2 linked regions of the Drosophila melanogaster genome follow. The protein of the gene in region 1 interacts with the protein of each later gene in a pairwise test. Each region holds a gene or a part of one and is shown on either strand. Other genes may lie near its edges.

Region 1 (3,936 bases):
CAAAGCTACATAATAAGGAAAGAAACACTTTCTTTTCGCAGTGTATTTCTAGGACAAAGCATCTTTTTCCACGTGGCATATAAAAATGTGTGCATTTCATTAAGGATTCCTCTGTGGCTTCCCCTTACTCTGCAGAGTTTTCTAAAAGTGCTCATTGGCATTTTTATCAGGCACTTTGGCCAGAAGTTGCACTCATTATTCTGTGGCATTTCATTTGCCGGAATCTCCTGGGTTAATTCAACAGACCCCCAAAGTGAAACTCCTCGCATTAGAAAAGTTTTGGGGATAATTAGCCACTTCGCTGAGGGGTTGGTACTTCCAAAAAAGTTTTCAATTAGGCACATCGTTTTTGCATGTTTTTATTGCAGTAATATTTACACAAAGGGACACCAGAGCTAATTCCCACTTAGTACCTTTTTAAAACGCCTTGGGGGTTTGGTTCTTTTTGTGGTCTTTGCTTTGTACACTTCTCAATAAATAAATAAATAAACAATACGCCGAGAGCGGTGTGTTTCAGCTACTTAACTTAGAACGAAATAAATAAGGTTACAGTTTGGCCGAATTTCGTAAGGGGGGTTTTGGTCTCTAGACCCATGTTCACTTCTGACCCGCGTAGGCCAAGTCCTGGGCATCCTGCGGCTCTTGCGAGGATCGGGCCCAGGCATGAGGATCCCAGGCGGGCGATGGGTGCTCCAGGTGCTCGATGTGCTCCACGGGCAGATCCACGTGGTGATCGATGTGGTGCTCCAGATGATGATCGATGTGATGCGGCACTATGTGCTCGATGTGGTGGGGCACCACGTGCTCGATGTGGTGGGGCACCACGTGCTCAATGTGATGCGGCACCACATGATCCACGTGATGGGGATAGTGCACCACCTCGTAGTTGACAATCTTGGGCTTGGCAATCTTGAAAATAACCAAGGCTCCAGACAGCACCAATGAGAGCAGGCCCAAGGTCATGGCCTTCCAGGTCTTTAGGGCAATGAGTCCCAAGGCCAGTGGCACCAGCACAGTGGTCTTCAGTTTCAGGCCCAGAAGGAAGGGCAGAACTGCCTTGCGGATCATGCCACGTCCTGGAAAAGTAGGAAAAATACAGATTAGATTTATCACAAGTGGTAAAAATCCAAATATTTGTATGCTGATTTGCATAAACCCTAAACATTTTTGAAATTTTTGATAATGCCATTTGTCATATTCAAATTAGTTTAACGATTTCTATTAAACACAAGAGTGGCATTTCAATAATTAGTATCAACACTTGTTTCTGACACTGTGTTGCGAATTGAATGTTATTTTGAAAAAACGTAAGCTCGTTTTGGATCGTCATCATTACTTTTTTATCTGACTTAGATCTTGAGTTCTTACCTTCGTTAGCAGCTGCCAGGGGAACTAATCCTCCCTGAGTAAGCGGATTCGACATGAGGAAGTCGGGCACCAGGGAGCGGGCTTCCGAGGTGCGGAAGTACTCCGGAGCCTGGATCCTCAGCGAGTGGCTGCCCAGATAGCTGTCGATGTCGTCGAAGAGGCGCTCCTCCGGGTTCATGGATCGGGACTCGACCTTCTCCGCGGTACGGACAATCGACAGGCGCTCGGTGATGCGCACCTCCGGCTGCCGGAGGGCAGAGTTGAACCACTGCAGGGCCTTGGGACGCACGCAGGAAACACTGAGGTCCTTAAGGCAGCCATGGTACATGTCCAGGGCTAGTTGCGTGGCGGACTGGGGCGCCACCTGACCTTCGGTGGGCGCCGAGTGGGCGGTGGACAGCGCCGCAAGGGCGACTATCAGACAAGCGGCGGTGCTCTTCATCCTTTCGACGACGGTTAGTCCTCAACTCTCACTCTGGTTCGATGGTCCGGTGGTCAGGTGGTTTGGTGGTGCGCACGCGTTGGCCACTCAGCGGGTTATGCAAATGTCGCATGGGAACCGCTTGGTTTTTATACGACGGTACTTTGCTAATTGAATTGCGTATGCCAGGTACGCACGGAGCTCTTTTTCTGCCCACCGCTTTGGGCTCCAGCTTTAGCGACCATTTCGCTTTGTTGTCAAAGTCATGGAAAGCGCAAGTTGACCACCTGAGTTTCACCTTTGTGCAGGTATGGCCCTAGCTGTGCTTCTGGCCTCTGATTCTATTTCGATACTCTAGTCTATTGGGTCAGGCGAACGTTTTATGGGCACGCTGTTCTCTTTGTGGGAGGAGTAGGAATTCCTCATTGCGACGATTTCCCGCATAATACGCGCCATAATGGGCCGCACATAATTGAAAGTTATTTGATGGCTTCTTCTGCATCGACGGCCGGGGATCCGCTCGTAAAATCAAGTGCCCAGCAATCCGAGGTGCGTGCCTGGAAACCCAATTAAAATACCACTCACCCAGCAGATTGGATACTCGTTTGTACCCACGGGGGGCAGTCAAATGCACTTGCTGACCACGGAAGCTGAAGAAATACCATTTCATTTCATTCTCCATTGTGAATCGAGTCGCTTTGATTCGTTCTTTAATATGTATTAATATTTACCTTCCAATTGTAAGAACATTTGCATAGAATTGAATGAATGAATGAATTGAATGAATGCTGAGATATGTTTGAAGTTAATTGTTTAATGGATCTCCTGTGATGTAGGGCATCAAAAATTAAATCAAAACTGCTGTATGACTTCTGCGTTATTACGAAATAAATTGTATGGAAGATTTAAATAGAGTGAAAATAGATCGGTAACCAAAATCACAAAATGGAATAGCCGTTAACCACCGATTTTCTGTAATTGATTTGCAAATAACTGAACCTTGAAGTTAATTGCATCTTAATGAAAAAACATTATGGTCTGCGGAGAGTTTCATGAGACTCCGTAAATGGGACTGCGGTAAGCAATTAAAAAAATATTACTAACCTTTTTATGCACAGTTTCTAGATTTAAGTCATTTGTGCTAAATGTTAGTGCTCTCACAGTGCAGTTTTGATGTACCAACAAATAACGCGATGAATTATTATTATTATTATTAAAATTATGGGAAAAAGAAAGATCCCATTCACATAATAATGCTCTTGAACGTTCAGATCTAGGTGAATATATTTCTAAAACGTTCGATATTGCAATAGATCAAGGTAAATGTTGTAAATCGGAGAAACAATCGGAACATTGATAATTTCCTGGCTGTAGTTTTAAAGTAGTTGCAGATGAAAATTACCAATTCTCAATTTTTTGTTATATGTATTTGAGCTTAAAAGGATATCCTGGTGAACACCAATTGGCTTAATTTCTTCCAATAGAAACCCTAAATTAGTTTTAGTAATAAGTCATTATTTGATATTTAAAGTGCCACCTAATTTTCAAATTGTAAGTATAATTATAAACAAGAATACCGAGTATAAAGGAATAAAAGGAAATAGGCCCTTTAATGATCTTCTTTCCCATCCCAATTATATTTTTCCTTGAACTTAAAGCAGGTAAACTTTTTTTAAAACAATACTCATGTTACTTGAATTAATTAACCGTGTTTGCAGTGTGCAACTTGATTTTATTAAAAATTTTTCGAATAGCGGAAATGTATTGTGAGCCAAATTTAGACAAGCCCAAGAAAATTATAAGGGCTGAGCAGGGGGGAGTACTTGGGCTGCTTTGGTATTTAATGAGCTGCCAATTTGGCAATCGGTGTTTTGATGTCAGTGCAGTTGGCTGGGCCCAGGAATCTTAATGTCTTACTTAAGCTTCCGCTCTTTGTTGTATTTTTTGTGCCTTTTTTGTTGGTTTTCATTTTGCTTTGTTTTTTGCTTGGGCAATACCGAATACTTATGCTAAAAAATAAGTGAAAGCTGTGCCATTTGCGTGTTAATTGCGCCTGGAATTTACACAAATATTAATTTCAGATGAGTTCGTACTTGTCATGGAGACATCAAAGTCGCCCCTAACGCCAATACACTGCCTAATAAATT
Region 2 (3,629 bases), on another chromosome or scaffold:
CCAATCCTTATTGGCCACCGCCTACATCGTGTGGGCGTGGTACGTCATTGCATCTGTGGGCATAACAATCAGCTATCAGACGGCCTTTTTGCTGAACAACCTTTCGGACATTATTATCACCACGGAAAATTGTTGCACCACCTTTATGGGTGTCCTGAACTTTGTCCGACTCATCCATCTTCGCCTCAATCAGAGGAAATTCCGCCAGCTTATTGAGAACTTTTCCTACGAAATTTGGATACCTAAGTGAGTCGATTCATTAGGGTTATTATAAGCGATGTTAAATGATCATCGCATTAAACTGCAGAGCATTGAAAACTATAGAGGTTTGCAATCTTACTTGAGTAAATGCGCAGAAAAGTGTGCTACATTGTTGTGTGCAAAAGAGCAAACTTTGCTTTCTAAGCATGCTTTTGGACACTTAAAGTGGTTTTGAGATAATATAGACTTTTGAGTAACTATACCCATCTTCAAACTGTATTTGTAAGAAAATCTTTATTTACATATATAAATATATGATGGGTTCCAGTTCTTCCAAAAACAATGTTGCCGCCGAGTGTCGCAGACGCATGGTTACCTTCAGCATAATGACATCCTTGCTAGCGTGCCTGATCATAATGTATTGTGTCCTGCCGCTGGTGGAGATCTTCTTTGGACCCGCCTTCGATGCACAGAACAAGCCGTTTCCCTACAAGATGATCTTTCCGTACGATGCCCAGAGCAGTTGGATCCGATATGTGATGACCTACATCTTCACCTCCTACGCGGGAATCTGTGTGGTCACCACCTTGTTTGCAGAGGACACCATTCTTGGCTTCTTCATAACCTACACTTGTGGCCAATTTCATTTGCTACACCAACGAATCGCAGGTTTATTTGCGGGTTCCAATGCGGAATTGGCCGAGAGCATTCAGCTGGAGCGACTCAAACGTATTGTGGAAAAACACAACAATATTATCAGGTTGGTATCGTGCCAATATTCAATTACAATGATTCTATTACAATGATCCTATTACAATGATTCTATTACAATGATTCTATTACAACGATTATATTACAAATATTCTATCACAACGATACTATTACAATGATTCTATTACAATGATTCTATTACAACGATACTGTTACAATGATTCTTTTACAACGATTCTATTACAATGATTCTATTACAATAATTCTATTACAACGATTTTATTACAATAATTCTATTACAACGATTTTATTACAATGATTCATTTCAATGATTCTTTTACAACGATTTTATTACAATGATTCTATTACAATGATTCATTACAATGATTCTATTACAACGATTCTATTACAATGATTCTATTACAACGATTTTATTACAATGATTCATTTCAATGATTCTATTACAACGATTTTATTACAATGATTTTATTACAATGATTTTATTACAACGATTCTATTACAACGATTCTATTACAATGATTCTATTACAACGACTCTATTACAATGATTCCATTACATGTTACTTTGATTTTGCCAATAGTTTTGCTAAGCGCCTCGAGGACTTTTTCAACCCAATTCTACTGGCCAATCTAATGATTTCCTCCGTACTTATTTGCATGGTTGGCTTTCAAATAGTTACTGTAAGCATTGGCAGTAAATATTTTAATATAATGACTAGCTTTTCTTTCTAAACTTCATAAGGGAAAAAATATGTTCATTGGAGACTATGTGAAGTTCATAATTTACATATCCTCGGCCCTTTCACAATTATACGTTCTTTGCGAGAATGGCGACGCATTGATAAAACAGGCAAGAATGTAGATTGTTTTTTTTTTTAATATATTAATAAACTATTTCCGATAAACAGTCTACCTTAACAGCGCAAATTCTGTATGAATGCCAGTGGGAAGGATCCGATCGCATTGAGATACAATCGTTCACGCCAACAACCAAGCGAATCCGAAACCAGATTTGGTTTATGATCCTCTGCAGTCAACAGCCTGTAAGGATTACGGCTTTCAAGTTCTCAACGTTGTCCTTGCAGAGTTTTACGGCCGTATGTCTACAAAAAAAAAATATATATATATATATATATATCAATTGCACAATTAAACTCATCTCTTTCAGATTCTAAGTACCTCGATAAGTTACTTTACATTATTGCGGTCAGTTTACTTCGACGACGAAAAGAAACTAGATTAAATAAAAACGTGGAGCTCTGTTTAAGGTTATGTTGCTTTCTGCTGATTTTCAAAATTCGAAACTTTGACAAATTTTGAAGCTGGGATTGGAGCTCCTAGAGGTTATCCCTCTCCTTGCACAGCCAGCGCTCCTAGTTGGCCATGATTTAATGCCCTAAATCTGGTTCGTTTTTCATTCGGTACCTTTCAGTCAGTACGGAACAAATATTCATACAATCTTTTCGAGATCTTTTATAAGTTTTGTAAATTCATTTGTACTAACTTACATCATTTCGCCATGCCTTCCGTCGAGTGGGTCTGTGGTTTGCTCTACTACGTTATGCGCACCTACATAAAGGTATTCGTATCCAGTTGCGAAGCACACTTCCCTATCGATATCCTTGACAAGGTGAGTGAGAAATGGATGGAGCAGCATGTGATGGACTCAATACACTATCCCAAACTTGCAGATTGTGTATTTGATAGATTTCGCCGAAGTTTCCATGAAGATAATGCGCCGGCCAAGAAATTACACGAATCCGACTGAGCGCCAAGCGAGACGCCTTCAATTCTACAATTTCCTTTTAAAGTTAAGATTTTTGGCACAGGTGATCTACACCTTGGTAGCCGTGGTAATTGGGACACTTAAAACATAAAAATTTATTTAATATGTTCCAAAAAATTCTATACATACTCATTGAAATATTTTTTTTTTTTTTTTTTTTTGACCATTCTAAGCTTTCTGTAATCCATGTAAAATAGCGTACAAAACGGGACAGGGCTGCGACCCGCGCTGATTGTTTGGACTGCGATGTGCTGTATTACTTGGCTGCCGTGGCTCCTTGAGGGACTGATCAACTATTTGTTTAAATGATGGACGCCATGGCGTTAGACATATATTTTTCAAAATTTTCCCTAACATGTAGCTATTCCTGAAATGTAGCAAATAAAGCACTGTTCTGCTTCGTACATTCTCAATTCTTCACGATGAAGGTGTGTGAACTTTTTGCGACGACTGTATACTCTCTTCAGCATTCTAACTCGATTTCGTGCATTTATTTTGCAAAAAATGCCAAAATTTGGCCAAAAATTAATTTCACAAAGCCTGTCAAAAAGTGATATGGGTTCTTAGTATTGGTAATTCGTATTAAAAAATAACTGTACTTCTTTTGGCCATTATAGCCATTTTTAGTCAAGTTATAACCAAAAAACCCATCTTAAATATTGCATTTTTTGCCAAAAATCAAAAATGGGCTAAAAATTTAAATTTTCAAAATTTATTAAAAAGAGATACAGAGCTGCACAAAAACTTAATTCAATTTGACTAAAAACTGCTAAAAACGATATACAATTTATTTGATTCTTAAGAATTCGCGACTATTCCCAAAAGTAGATTTAAAAGGCCAGGCAAATATTTTCTTATTTTTAATGAATTTCTCAGACAAACATAAGATCACAAATAGTAACTATTAATAT

The links.
Region 2: the proteins of Osi18 (region 1) and CG42766 interact in a two-hybrid assay, tested with the Drosophila melanogaster proteins (one large-scale study listed by BioGRID).

What each region holds. Positions count from the first base shown.
Region 1 is NT_033777.3:6,328,225-6,332,160, reverse strand, and holds Osi18 (osiris 18), read right to left. Parts: upstream 1,914-3,936; 5' UTR 1,811-1,913; coding exon 1,369-1,810; intron 1,077-1,368; coding exon 598-1,076; 3' UTR 352-597; downstream 1-351.
Region 2 is NC_004354.4:15,974,532-15,978,160, forward strand, and holds CG42766 (uncharacterized protein), read left to right. Parts: upstream 1-2,336; 5' UTR 2,337-2,451; coding exon 2,452-2,562; intron 2,563-2,623; coding exon 2,624-2,809; 3' UTR 2,810-2,891; coding exon of another isoform or gene 2,892-2,915; 3' UTR 2,916-3,129; downstream 3,130-3,629. Other genes in the region: Or13a (odorant receptor 13a), read left to right, coding at 1-246, 530-961, 1,514-1,613, 1,675-1,782, 1,841-2,029, 2,101-2,175.